Linked DNA regions of Schizosaccharomyces pombe. The gene in region 1 interacts genetically with each later gene. Each region holds a gene or a part of one and is shown in the gene's direction. Other genes may lie near its edges.

The links. A genetic interaction does not mean that the proteins touch.
Region 2: mutations in mis18 (region 1) and mis20 impair growth when combined (synthetic growth defect), as found in Schizosaccharomyces pombe (one study listed by BioGRID).
Region 3: of mis18 (region 1) and upf3, a mutation in one rescues a mutant of the other (synthetic rescue), as found in Schizosaccharomyces pombe (one study listed by BioGRID).

What each region holds. Positions count from the first base shown.
Region 1 is NC_003421.2:508,854-516,603, reverse strand, and holds mis18 (kinetochore protein Mis18), read left to right. Parts: upstream 1-1,796; 5' UTR 1,797-1,833; coding exon 1,834-1,987; exon of another isoform or gene 1,988-2,032; coding exon 2,033-2,093; exon of another isoform or gene 2,094-2,140; coding exon 2,141-2,227; exon of another isoform or gene 2,228-2,275; coding exon 2,276-2,311; exon of another isoform or gene 2,312-2,352; coding exon 2,353-2,437; exon of another isoform or gene 2,438-2,493; intron 2,494-2,511; coding exon 2,512-2,673; downstream 2,674-7,750. Other genes in the region: rad16 (DNA repair endonuclease XPF), read left to right, coding at 1-2, 52-400, 440-767, 810-935, 981-1,241, 1,282-1,698; dcw1 (mannan endo-1,6-alpha-mannosidase), read left to right, coding at 3,064-3,276, 3,323-3,895, 3,969-4,278, 4,329-4,561; cbr1 (cytochrome b5 reductase), read left to right, coding at 5,264-6,169; protein kinase activator Mob2, read right to left, coding at 7,296-7,668, 7,734-7,750. UniProt on the Schizosaccharomyces pombe protein: Component of the CENP-A recruiting complex that ensures the integrity of mitotic spindles through maintenance of kinetochore factors mis6/CENP-I and cnp1/CENP-A. Maintains the deacetylated state of histones specifically in the central core of the centromeres.
Region 2 is NC_003423.3:3,208,213-3,212,263, forward strand, and holds mis20 (protein Mis20), read left to right. Parts: upstream 1-1,673; 5' UTR 1,674-1,809; coding exon 1,810-2,571; 3' UTR 2,572-2,951; downstream 2,952-4,051. Other genes in the region: kgd2 (dihydrolipoyllysine-residue succinyltransferase), read right to left, coding at 247-367; rRNA processing protein Rrp7, read left to right, coding at 3,141-3,489, 3,538-3,905.
Region 3 is NC_003424.3:2,296,899-2,301,168, forward strand, and holds upf3 (protein upf3), read left to right. Parts: upstream 1-2,000; 5' UTR 2,001-2,080; coding exon 2,081-2,235; exon of another isoform or gene 2,236-2,294; coding exon 2,295-2,401; exon of another isoform or gene 2,402-2,451; coding exon 2,452-3,026; 3' UTR 3,027-3,170; downstream 3,171-4,270. Other genes in the region: heat shock protein Ssa1, read right to left, coding at 1-855; protein Mac1, read right to left, coding at 3,624-4,270. UniProt on the Schizosaccharomyces pombe protein: Involved in nonsense-mediated decay of mRNAs containing premature stop codons.

The sequences.
Region 1 (7,750 bases):
AGGTATAAAAAAAACTCTCTTTAAAGGAAGAAATATTAACAAATCTTTCAGAAACATCCAATAATTCGATAATGATTATGTGCGCAGATGAGCGTACTTGTTTACAGTTACGTGATTATTTGAGTACGGTGACTTACGACAATAAAGACTCTTTGAAAAATATGAATAGCAAATTAGTGGACTATTTTCAATGGAGAGAACAATATAGAAAGATGAGTAAATCAATCAAGAAACCAGAGCCTTCCAAGGAGCGAGAGGCTTCTAATACAACGTCTAGAAAAGGTGTTCCACCTTCAAAGAGAAGAAGGGTAAGAGGTGGAAACAATGCCACTTCACGCACAACTTCTGATAATACAGATGCGAATGATTCTTTTAGTAGGGATTTACGCCTAGAGAAAATGTACGCTAATTATTAGGTTTTACACGCTAATAAGTCTAGTCTGCTCTCACACTTATCCAAACGTTATGAACCTGAAGTGGGCAATGATGCATTTGAAGTTATTGATGATTTCAATTCCATCTATATCTATTCCTACAATGGTGAAAGAGATGAGTTAGTATTAAATAATTTAAGACCTCGGTACGTTATTATGTTCGATTCTGATCCCAATTTTATTCGAAGAGTCGAGGTTTACAAAGCTACATATCCCAAAAGATCTCTAAGGGTTTATTTTATGTACTATGGAGGATCGATTGAGGAGCAAAAATATCTTTTTTCTGTAAGGAGAGAGAAAGATTCATTCTCTCGTCTTATTAAAGAACGATCTGTAAGTTATTCTAAACTTTTCAAAACTTGCTAATCTAAAAAGAATATGGCTATCGTACTGACGGCTGATTCCGAAAGGTTCGAAAGCCAAGAGTCAAAGTTTTTAAGAAATGTCAATACTCGTATAGCTGGAGGAGGACAGTTATCGATCACAAATGAGAAACCTAGGGTACGTTCATTATATCTTATGTTTATATGTATTAAAACGTTAAAGGTTATCGTTGACTTGAGGGAATTCCGTAGTTCGTTACCTTCCATATTACATGGAAATAATTTTTCTGTTATCCCTTGCCAACTCTTAGTGGGAGATTATATATTATCACCAAAGATCTGTGTTGAAAGGAAGTCAATTAGAGATTTGATCCAATCATTAAGCAATGGCCGTCTTTATTCCCAATGTGAAGCTATGACTGAATATTATGAAATTCCAGTTTTGTTAATTGAATTCGAACAACACCAATCTTTTACATCTCCAGTAAGTCTGACTAAAACAATCTATGTCTGACAGCTTTTAGCCTTTCTCCGACCTTTCAAGCGAAATTGGAAAAAATGATGTTCAATCTAAACTGGTACTGTTAACATTATCGTTTCCCAACTTAAGGATTGTTTGGTCTTCTAGTGCCTACGTTACATCAATTATTTTTCAAGATTTGAAAGCCATGGAACAAGAACCAGATCCTGCTTCAGCTGCCTCTATAGGTTTGGAAGCTGGGCAAGACTCAACGAATACTTATAATCAAGCTCCACTCGACCTGCTAATGGGACTCCCATACATAACTATGAAAAACTACAGAAATGTGTTTTATGGAGGCGTGAAAGATATTCAAGAAGCTTCCGAAACCTCAGAAAGAAAATGGTCAGAACTAATTGGCCCCGAAGCAGGAAGGCGTCTTTATTCCTTCTTCCGAAAACAGTTAAAGGACTATGAGTAATTTATTTTTTTATAATTTTGTAATATATTTAATTTTTGCTTCTACATCTGATATATATTGGTTCACCATATATAGAATGTTAAGCGCACCTAATTAATAACGACTACTACTAGATAAAATGAACTTTCCATAAGTATGTCCCAGACGGAAACTAGTCATTCGGGCTATATTGATTTTAAAAAAGAGTCACAACCTAGCGTCTTCCAATGTAAAAAATGTTTTCAAATAGTTGGTGATTCTAATGCTTGGGTTATTTCTCATCGAGAATATCTTAGTTTCACTTTGAGTGGTATGTGGTAAAAGAAATGTCCATGTAATTAATTATTTCATTTAGATGCAGTAGAAAATAGTGTACGCGTTGAGGATACGTTTAAAAGGAGTGATGATGGTCTTTGGTATGTTGCATGTGTTGCTCGCCAGTTTACTAATACAAAAATTATAGCGTCTATTCAGAGTTGAGTTGTACTAGATGCAATGAAGTGATTGGGAAGGTGTATAATTCTACACCTATATATCTTGATGATATTAGGTATGTCTAGTCGTACTTGGTTGACCAAATTTTAACAAAATCATGTAGAGATATGTATACTTTTTCAATGGACAAATTACAAGCGTAAGTTCATGATTTCATCTTAGTTACTAACCCCAGTGAAGCTACCAACTAGGTAATAAGACCGTAAATCCTGAAGGCCTTACACGGTATCAAGTTGATTTAGAAATGAGAGAGGACATTATAAAGGCATGTACAGTGATTCTTTATATAGTAGAGAAAAATAAACTTTAAGAAGAATAAATTACTAATTTTATTTGTAGTTGAAGTCCTTTTGTCTCTCTCTATATGAAAAGTTCGAACTTCACGATGAAACTTTACGCTCAGTTAAGGAGACAATATCCAGTTTAAAAAAACCGAAAATTGAGGGAAAGGAAGGTAAAAAAGAAAAGGCAAGAACATACTCTAAACGAACGAGGAAATAAGTCCACCGCTAGAAAGTACTGGGATACCATGTACAAACTGTTATATTCAAACAGTTAAAATTGCGGTTAAAACAAAAAGACACAATTTAAATAATACCTTTTTGATGTATTTTTTCTAAGGTTTTCCTTCTTGCTCATTGTGATATGCATGGGGCTGTCGGTCTCACGAATAAATGTGAGAGTATTTTCATTGAAAGGCTTAAGAATTTTATAGAAGATAGATTGCGTTAAGTTATATTTTTTCCCTACCTTTGGTCGTTCGTTGTTTACTGTTTAGATTATTTCTATCAGTCATTAATGAGTCATCATTGAATCATATGAAGGGCGACAGTCATCTGGATACATATGGGAATCTTCAAAGATACTACTCTATTTAATCCTTCTTTTTCAATGAGTCTTACAATCTTTATTTCACTTGCAACTATTTTGTTTTCCTTCGCTGAAGCCATTTCGGTGGATTTGAATGACACGTCCTCCGTTGACTTAGCCACTTCTTTAGTAGCTGATGGATTATTGAATTATTATGCTGGTCAGCACAAAGGAGGAACTATCGGGATGTTCCTTCCTCCAGCCTACTGGTGGGAAGCCGGGGCTGCTTGGAATGTACGTTGAGCTTAAAAGTATAATTTATTAACAACAATGGCTTTAGGGACTTTTAAATAGATACATTGCCACTGGTAATAGTACATATAACGAGTTGGTAAAGACCAGCATGTTGTACCAATCTGGAGAGGATTCAGATTATATGCCTTCGAATTATACAACATCTGAGGGAAATGACGATCAGGCATTTTGGGGTCTGACCGTTATATCTGCCGCTGAAGCAAACTTTTCAAATCCAGCAGCCGATGAACCACAATGGTTGGAACTGGCTCAAGCTGTATTCAACCAACAGGTCACACGATGGGACACGGATCATTGCAACGGTGGTCTTCGATGGCAGATTACTGAATTTAACTCTGGGTACAACTATAAGAACACTGTCTCAAATGGAGCATTTTTTCAGCTTGCAGCTCGACTGGCTCGATTCACCGATAACGATACTTATGCTGAGTGGGCTAATGTAGCATACGATTGGAGCCAAAGGATTGGGTTTATTCAAGAAGATTACACTGTATTTGATGGGAGTTCTATAAAAGATAATTGCTCATCTATCGAAATTACTCAGTGGACTTACAATATAGGATTATACATGGCAGGAGCAGCTTACATGTATAACTATGTACGTTTAAAGGATATATACATTATAACTTTACTGTAAAATGCAAAATGATTGTAACTAACAGTTTCACCAGACGAACTCTACGGTATGGAAAACTCGAGTTGAAGGTTTTGCCAACAAAACTGCCAAAACCTTTTTTTTCAAGGATATTATGTTCGAACCAGTATGTGAAATAGCTCTTTCATGTAACTATGATCAAACGTCTTTCAAAGGCTTTTTGACCAGATTTATGGTCTACACGGCACAAATGGCTCCATTCACTGCACCGTTATTAGAACCATTGTTGATATCCACCGCCAAAGCTGCAGCCGGGGCATGTTGCGGCGGTTATGATGGAGTGACTTGTGGTGTTCAATGGTGGTGGAATAACGATACTTGGGATGGTATGTTTGACTGTTAAAAAAAAACAGTATTGGTTCTAACTTTATAATAGGACTTTATGGCCTTGGAGAGCAAATGTCTGCATTGGAAGCTATTCAAGCTCCCTTACTTTTAAAATCGCTTCAAGTCTTTAAGGCTTCGAATGGAGGATCATCAACAGGAGACCCCAATGCAGGGCTTTATACTGCTCCTGTATCTTTCGCTAACAAAAATTTTGAAAACCTGAGGAAACATTGGATGCTATTGGGGTTCTTCCTTTTAGTGCCTACACTGGTCCTTTACTAAAAAATGTGATGTTAAGTAATGCAAGTTGATGGATCTAGGGTTTTTAAATTGCTTCTTCTTACTTGGAAACAATTACCTGTCTTTTAATGCTTGTTCCTCAGAGACGGTGTTTCACTTCCAAACTGTATACCGAATTATATATAAATAGATGGATATATCTCATGTATTCCGGTAGTAGATCATTGCTGAAAGACTATTTATTAACGAATTTACAAAATTTAGTTATTAAAATTTAATTCATTTCTTAAATTATGAATCGGCGTGATAAACAAGCATATGCTTGCGAACAAGTATGGTTCGACAAGCTGGTTTTTCAAAATAAATAATTTTAGCAGATTTTGAAGCGAAAGCCCTCAATCTATATAATTTACAATGAAATGGATTATGTGATGATTTATGTTCTCTTTCGTCAGTATTCCATGCTTAGTTGTTCATGACCTTAAAAAATCATTCGAGAAATCTGATTAGTTTTATAGACTTGCCCTTGACCAAACTTCTACTGTTAGCAATACTGCAGGAATCGTGAAAACTAGAGATTTCTTTTAAATTTTTTGAAACTATTGAAAGGTTTCTTATTCTTTAAATTATTTTAGTTTCTTGAAGATTTTGTAATTTGAGTCTTCTGGAAACGTTTCGCATTTCTTCTGCTTTCAGGCTTCTCTACTTTTTCTTTAGTTATTTTGGCTCACAATCCTAATTGAAATGGCCAAACAAACTCTTCTTAGTACCCCGTTGCATGGAGTCTATATTCCAGTGTTTTTGATCATCTTTGGTACTTACATTGTGAAACGCGAATGGGTGGGTTACGCTATTGTTGTGGCATTCTCTCTTGGTTTTCATAAGTTCTGGCGTGGACGCGTTCGTAAAGTATTGAGTGATAAAATTCAACAATTTGAACTTAGTGATAAAGCTGTATTGAACCACAACACTGCCATTTATCGTTTCCGTCTGCCTCGCGCTAACGATGTTCTTGGTCTCCCCATAGGACAACATTTAAAGGTCTTTGTTGATGTTGATGGTAAGGAGTATTCCAGATCTTACACTCCTCTGTCTTCCGATGCTGACAAAGGTTATTTTGATTTGCTCGTAAAGTCTTACCCCAATGGCAAAGTGAGTAAGAAGTTTTCTGAACTTAAGATTGGTGATACCATCGGTGTTCGTGGCCCTAAGGGAAATTGGAAGCATCGCACTGGCCTCGCGCGCCATTTTGGCATGATCGCAGGCGGAACAGGTATTACTCCTATGCTTCAAATCATTCGTGCTGTTCTTTCTAATTTTGAAGATCCAACGGAAATCACTCTTTTATATGCTAATGTATCAGAGGGTGATATTGTTCTTCGTGATGAGATTGACGCACTTGCTAAGAAGGATCCTCGTTTTACCGTTCATTATGTTTTGAACAATCCTCCTGAAAACTGGAAGGGAAGTGTTGGATTTGTTACTCAAGAACTTATCAAGGCGCATTTCCCTGCTCCTTCTCCTGAAACCAAAGTTCTTATTTGTGGCCCTACTCCCATGGTTAATTCACTCAGAGAAGCTACAGTTGCATTGGGATATGAAAAGTCCCGAGCCATTTCGAAGCTTGAGGATCAAGTATTTGTCTTTTAGATTTTAATTTTGATTATTTCCCTTCCCTCGTTTCAATAATGTTCTTCGTTTTATGTTGCCAATCGACTCACTCTACTGCAATTTATCTTACTACACGGCACATGTTTTAAGTAGTTAATTATTTGACGTGACTATATGTTTACGAATAAGCTAGAGACTTTTTTATCTGCTTGGATTGAAGTTAGCAATGATACGTACACAGTCTAGTCTAGTGAAGGATCAAGCCAATGCAATCTTAAAAGAGAAATAAACAAAATTTACATTGAGATTTATTTCAGTTTAAAGGATATCCATTAGTATGCCCAAAAATTGAATTATCGTAAAGTATAAAAAGAGAGTCAGACCATAACTCGATCCTTTGAGAATGTAACGTTCAATTTAGGAAATAATTATAATCACTGTTCGTCCACAAACAATTTTTTGAATTATTTATCAGTAAGCCCAATAACCCAACAAAAGACTGAAGGGAAAAATTAAAAGTGTCGAATTTGGAAACGTCTTCAGTTCATTTGAGTAAATTGCTGCTATAAAAAAAGTGGACATTAAAACAAAAACAAATTTCAGTTGTAACAAGTTTTACTTTTTTTTAATTTGCTTATCGGTCAAGTCCAAGGTTAAGAAGGGGAGCAAGGCTGTGGACTTTAAAAAAAGAAGTTGATGGTTAGATATAGGAAAGGAGAGCATTAGCGGATTATTTTTGTTGAGAAGGATAAGATCTCTTATAATTATCAAGGAATAATGTGGAATGAGTCACATAAAATGCAAGATATAGTTAAGAAACTAAACGGACGTTGAAGATAATTTCTAAGGAATACGGCCAAAGTCTGTTTAAAAATTCCCGTGAAATCAGTGAATGCAAGCGAATATGCCAAGAGTCCAAAAGGAATAGGATGTAAAAATAAAGAAAATGGCATCAAGAAATACAAATAGTAATTAGCTAATGAAGGTGGTAACGAAAAACGAACAAAAGGAAGTGTAGGAATTTAGCATATAACTTACTGCCTGTGTAGCAGAGAGAGGATTCGAGGGAAGAGGGTATTTGTGGGAAGAGGGGGTAAAGGAAAGGACGAAAACAAAAGAGATAAATGGTAGAAAACAGAAGTGTGTCCTGCCTTCGGCAAGAATATTAAATATTTCCTTGATTTTCTAAGACAACAATAAGATCTTTTAACGGAGCAGTGTCACGTTTATCCAACAGTTGAAACTCTTTACCAAAAGCAATAAAGTGAGCAAAGAATGAATTCCAGTGGGCTTCTAAAGAGAGATGAAGGATTTCTGCATAATGAGCATAATACATATGGGCAAAAATGCGAAACATTTGTTTATATATGGCTTTAACAATAACAAGAAAATTTGAAGGAAATGGCAAGCCTGCCTTTGTAGGAAAGACGTTTTGATCATGCAATCTATTTTCAATCCAAGCGAGTACGTATTCAATATATTGGGGAGCGGGTAAATGGACGGGTTTACGGTTGTTATCCAACCAAGTATAGTCGAAACTATAATAAAAGAGTAAGTTAGTAAAGGTAGAGGTGAGAAAATAATTAACTAGAGAATCACATACTTGGCTGCAGCACTCAT
Region 2 (4,051 bases), on another chromosome or scaffold:
AAGTAAATCCCGAAGATACTGAGTGAAAGGAAGAAAACATAGTTGAGAATTCCTATTCATGTGTGAATATGACCTTGTGAAGAATTATTTAATTATTTTGAAATCAACAGCGTCCACTTGATTCAAAATAAAGTTTAAGACAGATGCACTTAGCAAAAGTTGATTCTTATGAGCAAGTTGAGTACTAACATATATATCCCGTCTCCTTTAACAAACAATATCTACATCATGATCAACAACACATACCATAACGGGCCCAAAGGACGTTGGCCATGGATTTAGACACTGGAGCAGTGACTGAATATCCTGAACGTAGAGATAAAAGACATTTCGCCATCATGCGAAAGCCATTGCCGTAAGAAGTCATTATGATGGTTTTTCCGTAACAAGTAATTTACTTCAATCTTGAATAAAGACAGCACAAGAAAAAACAAGAAGAATGTACGAAAGCCAAATCAACTAACAGTGGCTTGCTTATTTTGTATTATTGCTAGAGGGGGTTGTTGTATGTGGTAGAAGGTAAATATGCTACACCCTTATAAACACTGTAATATATTATATGGAGTATGAGTGCACGGTAGTGCTTTGAACCTGTAGAATCCTATTCGGTGTGTGAAACCAGTATGACCTATGGTAGGCCATTTATAAAACCTTATTAGGAAATGTAGCTGGGGGTAGTAAAGAGATTTGATGAGAGTCACTGTATTTCGTTAAACATTGTTTAGAAAGGATTTGGAATAATAAAGGTTTGCTACAATACACTAAATTGTAATAGTGTGATGTAAAGACAGCAAAAATGATAAACTATTAAGGATCAATATATGAAGTTGTTTTAAAGTTGAATTCAAAAAAATATTTATCAATTTCGGTTTTCTCCTTTTTTTACATTGACATTTTGCAGATATCCAAAAGAATAAAAATAGTATTGAAAGGTGTGGGACTCGAACCCACGAGCTTTCGCACTAGTGCCTTAAACTAGCTCCATAACCACTCGGACAACCTTCCTAGTTGTACGGTTCTATCCATAGACGAATATATACAGTAAAAATAAAAAATATTTGAGCTGTTATTCATACGAATGAATTATTATTATGAATTAATACCTCATATATACATTTGATATTGAACATTGTAATTAGTTTCAAAGGCATATGACTTTTTGGGTCACTGCCGGAACAATATCAGTCGTAAGGAAATGCATTGCTTGCCCGCACACGAGCATTAATGAATGTTTCCGCTAATTTGCAAGATATTCGCTCTGAACTTACAGAATGAATAAGTATGGTTTAGAATTAGAAATCACATTGGTTTCGCAGCTTGAGAGAAATGTTTGTTTTACATTGTAAATAGTAAGCTTATTTGTCGCGCGTTTATTGGTATTGCTATTTCTATATATAGAAAAAAAAAACATTTTCCTAATACTTCATCTCATCTAGCTCTAATATATCGAAAATTCCTAGAAACCCTTTTTTTGCGATCAAAACATTCAATTAAGCTACATAAGTTGTATTCTACAAAATGTCAGCGGTTCGCTGTATCAAATAAATAGTATATATAAACTCTATACCTCTTTTGTCTTTATCATCCCTTTAATCAATTCCTAGGTTTTTCATTGAAGACATTTTTTGCAAGCACCTACAGTATATATATCGTTGATTTTATTTACCTTCTTCACTAACCAATTTTCTTGAGCCTTAACACCTAAATGAAGCAATTATTGAAAAGTTGGATTTATCCAAATCTCAAAACTTTGTTAAACTTCATTTTAACCTAAAGTCATATCTTTAAAAAGATAAATCGCATGGCAAAATGTTGGAACAAAGTGAATCGCACGCGTTCATAAATAATGCACCAAAAGAAGATCGAATCCAAGTGAAATTTGAACAATTATTTGAATCTCTTCCTTTGCCATTGCGAGCTGAAGAAGCATTGAGTAAACTAAGACATGATTCTGCAAGATTGATGATATTAAAAACTTCAGATCCTACGTTAAATATGTCGACTTATAGTATAGAGGATTCTCCGATGGGCTTTGAATGCTTAAAATATAATTTAAGTGACAATAATAAATTACTTTCACAAAATAATTACCGATTACCAGACTATTTAGAAGAGGATGAAATAGTCAGCTATACTTTTTCAAAAACCGGTCCCACTACTTCAAAAAACAAGCATCCATCACATTCTAATACAATTAGATCACCTCCTTACAAAGTGAAAAAAGAATCATGTCATACAGAAATCAACAACGTGTCTAATGTTTCTACGGAAAGTATCAACGTTATTGATGCATCGAGGGGTTACTCGCCTTACACATCAGTGGATTCTCTTTCTGTGAGTAAAAACCGTTCTTTCATATCTCTTGAAGAATCAGCAAGTAACCAATATGATGCTGCAGAAGCTTTTTATTTTAATGCAGACTCATCCTCACCGTTGAGAAAACTTAGCCCTATAGAGCTTCCTGTGACTCCAATAAGACGCAAAACCCCTACAATTAACCCAAACTCAGAACTTAAAAGACTTCAAACTTTTGGAAAACTGATTTTGCATAAGGGAAGTCGTAGAAGGTAGTGAGTCCAATCGAACAAGAAGTATACAATAACGTTTCTTTGTTATTACGAAAAATTTTGAATGACCATTTTATAATGCAAAAAGTTACCTTAAGCGTGTGCAGTAATTTATTCAAATATCAATAATCCTTTTAAATGACTATACCGAGCACTATACTTTGTATGAGTAGGCTATAAGGATCTTTTTTAAAAACGTTTATCTTGGTTAGGAACACTAAATGCAATTAGCAACCACGCATATCAATATAGCTGTATTTTTTTATTAATTTACAATCCAACACCTCTAGCTCCCAATTCAATTATTACATTGCTTTTTGGAGCTTTTATTTAGCAGCAAATAAATTACAAGTTGTATAATTACATTTTTTTTTTAATCCTAGAAAATAAGCAAATCTTAGTTTAATTTTCGCTTATTCTAACATTCTTAATGTATATTGTATATAATAATAATTATAGTCACAACGAGATGAAGTATGCGAAGGTATAAGAGTATACAGCTCCTATGGTCTTGCCCTCGGTCAAGCTCAGTAACAAATTGCATTTTACCCAAGAACCAAACAACTCATATAAATGGACAAGCTCAAAGAAAAAGGGTTTGTTAAACTAGAAATTTATTTGGAAAATAAAAAGAGGTTGCATAGTATATTTTTGAAAGAAGACACGGAAGATGTTGAAAAGAAGTCACTGTATTTGATTAATGTTCCTATCACAACTACTGAAAAGATTTTGAAAAGAGCAATTTCTCAATTGGGCGGTCGTATCGTTAATATCTATCCTAATATTAGTGGCCTTTTGAAAAGTGGCACCCATTTACGCGTCAAATTAGTCGAGCCCGCTGAAGTTAAACAAGTTATCAAGGCAGCTTCTAAAAAGACGACCTCGCTTCCTTGGAAGTTCACACAGCATACTGGTTTGAAACGTAAGAACATGGTCATTATTTTTTTGGAAATACTAATGTGTTTAATAGGTTATGTAGAAAGTTATGATAGACAGTTTGTCAATCCACGTGTTCTAGCCGAAAGTGTTGATTCATACATGAAACGTGTTACTAAAAAGGAAATAGCAGAAAAGAGGAGACTATTCGCTATGAAAAATCAACCTGATGAAGATGGATTCGTAACGGTCGTTCGCAGCGGCCGGGCACCTGTCGGGCGACCTCAGGATGCTGAGCGTCAATTGGAAAAGAAAAAAGACACTGGGATCCACAAAGATTTTTACCGTTTCCAGCTTCGGGAAAAGAAAAAGAAGGCTCTTTTGGATTTAGCTCATAAGTTTGAGTTCGATAAACAGCGTATCCAACAATTAAAAGAAAAGCGGCAATTCAAACCGTATTAATATTATAGGTTTTAATCTTTTTGGGAGCATCACAAGGATTTGTTTTAGTTTGTATATTTTAGGGATAATGGTAATATACAAAGGCTATGATTTACTAATACAAAGAATAAAGTATACTTACCACAAACGTATATAAATATATTAGT
Region 3 (4,270 bases), on another chromosome or scaffold:
CAAAGAATCAATTTCAATGCTGGCTTGAGCAGAAGAAGAAAGAGTACGCTTGGCACGCTCGCAAGCAGTACGTAGTCGACGAACAGCACGAGCGTTGCCAGTGATGTCCTTCTTGTTCTTACGCTTGAATTCTTGGGCAAAGTGGTTCACTAAGCGAGAGTCAAAATCTTCACCACCCAAGTGGGTATCACCAGCGGTGGCTTTAACTTCGAAAATACCCTCTTCAATAGTAAGAAGGGAGACATCAAAAGTACCACCACCAAGGTCGAAAATAAGGACATTGGTTTCATGCTGGTTGCTTCTGTCTAAACCATAAGCAATGGCGGCAGCTGTGGGCTCGTTAATGATACGAAGGACGTTTAGTCCAGCAATCAAACCGGCATCCTTCGTGGCCTGACGTTGGGAGTCATTGAAATAAGCGGGAACAGTAACAACGGCATCGGTGACTTTGCCACCCAAAAAGGCTTCTGCGCTTTCACGCATCTTCAATAAAACCATAGAGGAGATTTCCTCTGGTGTAAAGGTCTTGGTCTCACCCTTGAACTCTACCTGAATCAAAGGCTTACCATCCTTCTCGATGACCTTAAAAGGCCAATGTTTCATATCAGATTGGACTTCGGGATCGTTAAATCTGCGGCCAATCAATCGTTTGGCATCGAAAATAGTGTTGTGAGGATTCATAGCAACTTGATTTTTTGCAGCATCACCGATCAATCGTTCTGTGTCAGTGAATGCAACATAGGAGGGAGTCGTGCGATTTCCCTGGTCATTGGCAATAATTTCCACTCGATTATTCGAGAAATGACCGACGCACGAGTAAGTAGTACCCAAATCAATACCGATAGACTTGCTCATATTTGAAATGTATTAATAGTTCGTAAAGAAAATTCGTATCAATGAAAAACGGGGGAATGAAATTAAATTCGTAAACAAAATAAACGTGAATTAATAAGTATTATAACACAGGTACGATAGATTCGCACAAATGCGCTTTAGAAAATGCTTTTTTTAATTTAAGACGAAATAAACAATCGAAACGACAATTGCTGTTTGAAGAATTGTTGATATCCCTTTCGCCGTCCCCCAACCTCTATTTATGTACCTTTGTCCATTCTCGAACCTTCACCAACCCTAACCCTCGAGATGCTTCGAGAAACGGGGAGAACGAATTCTGACGAAGTCAAGGAATTACGTTACGATACTCAAAAAAAATCGAAACATTTCGAAGTTGCCGAAACATTCGCTTCCAAACCATCACGATCCAGCGAAAACGCTTGAGAATTTGCTGGACGTGTCCTTTTATTAATCCGTACTACCTTGTTAACTATCAATGGGTAAAACCAAGTTTTGATCGTCTCAAACTCGCTAACACCTTTTTTCCTCCACATTATTCGAATGTGGAGTAGAAAACGTCATCACTTGTCGAGCGATGGCTTCCCGCTTACATTAGAGTAAATTCTGTATGCAATTGCCGAATACAGTTACTTTCATTGTGATGACTTAATTAGAGCATACAGATGTTTTTCAAATTTGTCTTTCGATTGCACTAATTGATGGTGAAAAAACCGTTTTCAGAGTATGAGACGATTCTTGCAGCTTCTGCATCATTTGCAAATAAAGTTATAGTGGAATAAACGAGTATAAACGCACGATTACTCGAGCAGACTGAAATATAACGGTATAGCAAAAAAATGCGGTATATGAAATAATGCACAGTTGCGAAAATTTAGGTTACTGAAGCACTCAATAGTGCAATTACCTGTCCCAATAATCAATTCCTTAATTGTATAGTAACGATGAACAAATTGGTCTCGCATTTTGGATAAGAAAACTGGTAGAACATCGTAACGTCATTTAGAAAAAGGCACTACTTCATCTCTTTAAGTTATTTAAACGAGGCTAAATGATTGCAACCTTATCAGTAAATTGCAGATTGCTGTATTGGTCTGGTAAACGAAGGAAAGGTTGTTTAAAATAAGTAGCGCAAAAGTACCCTCCCTACAAAAAGCTTTGGTTATCATCAATCACCAATTTTCTATAATAGGGGAACTACCTTAAGCATTTCATTGCATGTATGTAGATGGCTCCTGATATCTCAAAAAAACGATTACCATGCAAAGTCCTCGTTTTTAATTTACCACCAACTTTGCCTGAACAAGTGTTTCTCCAATCCATCAACTCATTTTTACCACACGTGGAATGGCACCGATTCTCCAAAGGGAAAGCAACTGTTGGGTATTTATTTATTTCTTTAACCTTTCTTGCAAATAGTTACTAATATCGTGCCTTTGTAGTACTCGATCTGAATTGCTATCCTTTGCGTATTTGAAGTTCCAATCCGCCACGGCTGTTCAGGAATTTTTTCGCGTATACCAAGGACATACCTTCATAGATAAGAAGAGTAAGTTGTTACCATTCAAATTTTTCTTTTTTAACTCAAACATGCATTAGACAACACTTATAGGGCAATTGTCACAATTGCTCCATATCAAAAGATTCCTCCTTCTAAAGTAAAGGCAGATAGTTTAGAAGGCTCACTTGAACAAGATCCGAAGTTTCAAGAATTCAAGGTTCAGCGGGAGAGCTATTCGCAAACTGCGTCCAATGACGATGTTATTGAAAAATTACAAACCTCTACTCCATTACTACAATATCTTGCTGAGAAAAAAAATGCCGTTGTAGAAAAAGGAAAATCAAAACCATCTAAGAAATCTGTGAAGGCTAAGAAAAAGCTACGCTTGGCTGAAAAGCCGGCATCTAACAATTCAAAAGCTGGTAAAAGCTCACAAGAATCAAAAAAGTCTTCAAAGGCACCTGCTGAATCTGCAGCTGCTGTAATCAAAGAAGATAAAGTTTCTGATCGCAAAAAATCTAAAAAGAAGCCAAAAAAAACCCCCGTTTCTAATAGCACTGCTTCTCAAGCTTCCGAAAATGCCTCTGATAAAAAAACAAAAGAGAAGAAATCGTCTGGCAAACAAAAGATCGCTTCTAAAAAGAAAGATCAGCTAACAACTGATAATGTTTGAAAAAGTATTTATCCTTCCTTAGTGTGTAAATTAGAAATTCCTCCAGTCCTCATTCTTTATGTTTGCCTTATTGTCAACGATCACGATCAACTTAGCATCTTTAATTATACTTTTTAATCAATTGGTTGTTTTCCAAACTCATAAGATACACTGATGATAGATACATTTTTGCATTACTGTATTCTTTGGCCCGTAAATATAAATGCAACAAAAAATCTTTTAAAACACATACTCTACAAACCATAAAAAAGTACCTGTTTGCGATAGCACTACACAATTCCTACAACTATTTTTAATGTAATACCAATATATCGTCATTGTTCTCATGCTTATTCTGAAAGAATATTAATGAGATGGAAAGATAAGTAAAATGAATAATTGAAACTGTGCATGCAAATTTATAAAAGGAACCAGTCCTTTAATTAATAGGTTCGCCAAAGAGATAGTAAAATTGTAATAAAAGTAAAATGAATGAAATGAAAGAAGATGAGTAAAGAATCAATCTAAGGGAATAAATCGACAGTTTACCGAAACTATCAATTCTCAAATTATACATAAGCTAGCAGAATGAAGACAAAATGTCCAATTGAATAATCATTAACGGATCATCCGATTTCCACCAGGTCCCCGTCTATTATTACGGTTACCACGAACCGGAAGCTCGAAATCAGCGTTGCCTGAAAGCTGATCTAACGTATTTGAAACAGGGGGAACATTAGATAAATTTTGAGGGTCTCTCATCATACTGCGAGGACCATAACCCATGCCGGCATGGGCGGTATTCAGGCTGCCATGTGAGGGATTACGACTACCATTTAACTCAAAAGAAGGTCTTGACATATTTCCATAACTTGGTCTCTTGAATTGGCGAGAGTTGTTTGCTAGTGGAATGCCGTGCATACTGAGATCCAAGGCTGAATTATTTCTGGAGTTAGGAGAAGTTGGCATACCACGGGAATTTCCAGGAATGCCACTTTGACCGAACAAATCAGTTGAAGAATTACTCCTAGATGCGTTTCTAGGACCATTACGTAAATTCATTGGAATTTGCGCATTAAATTCACTTGAAGAATTGTTTCTTGAAGTGTTCCTAGGACCACGCATATTGACTGGCATACCACCATGAGCATGCAAATCATTTGAGGAATTATTTCTAGGTGCACCCCTGTGACCGTTATTCATATTTGGGTGCATCCCGCTCTGTGCATATAAATCTGAAGAGGAATTATTACGAGATGTGTCCC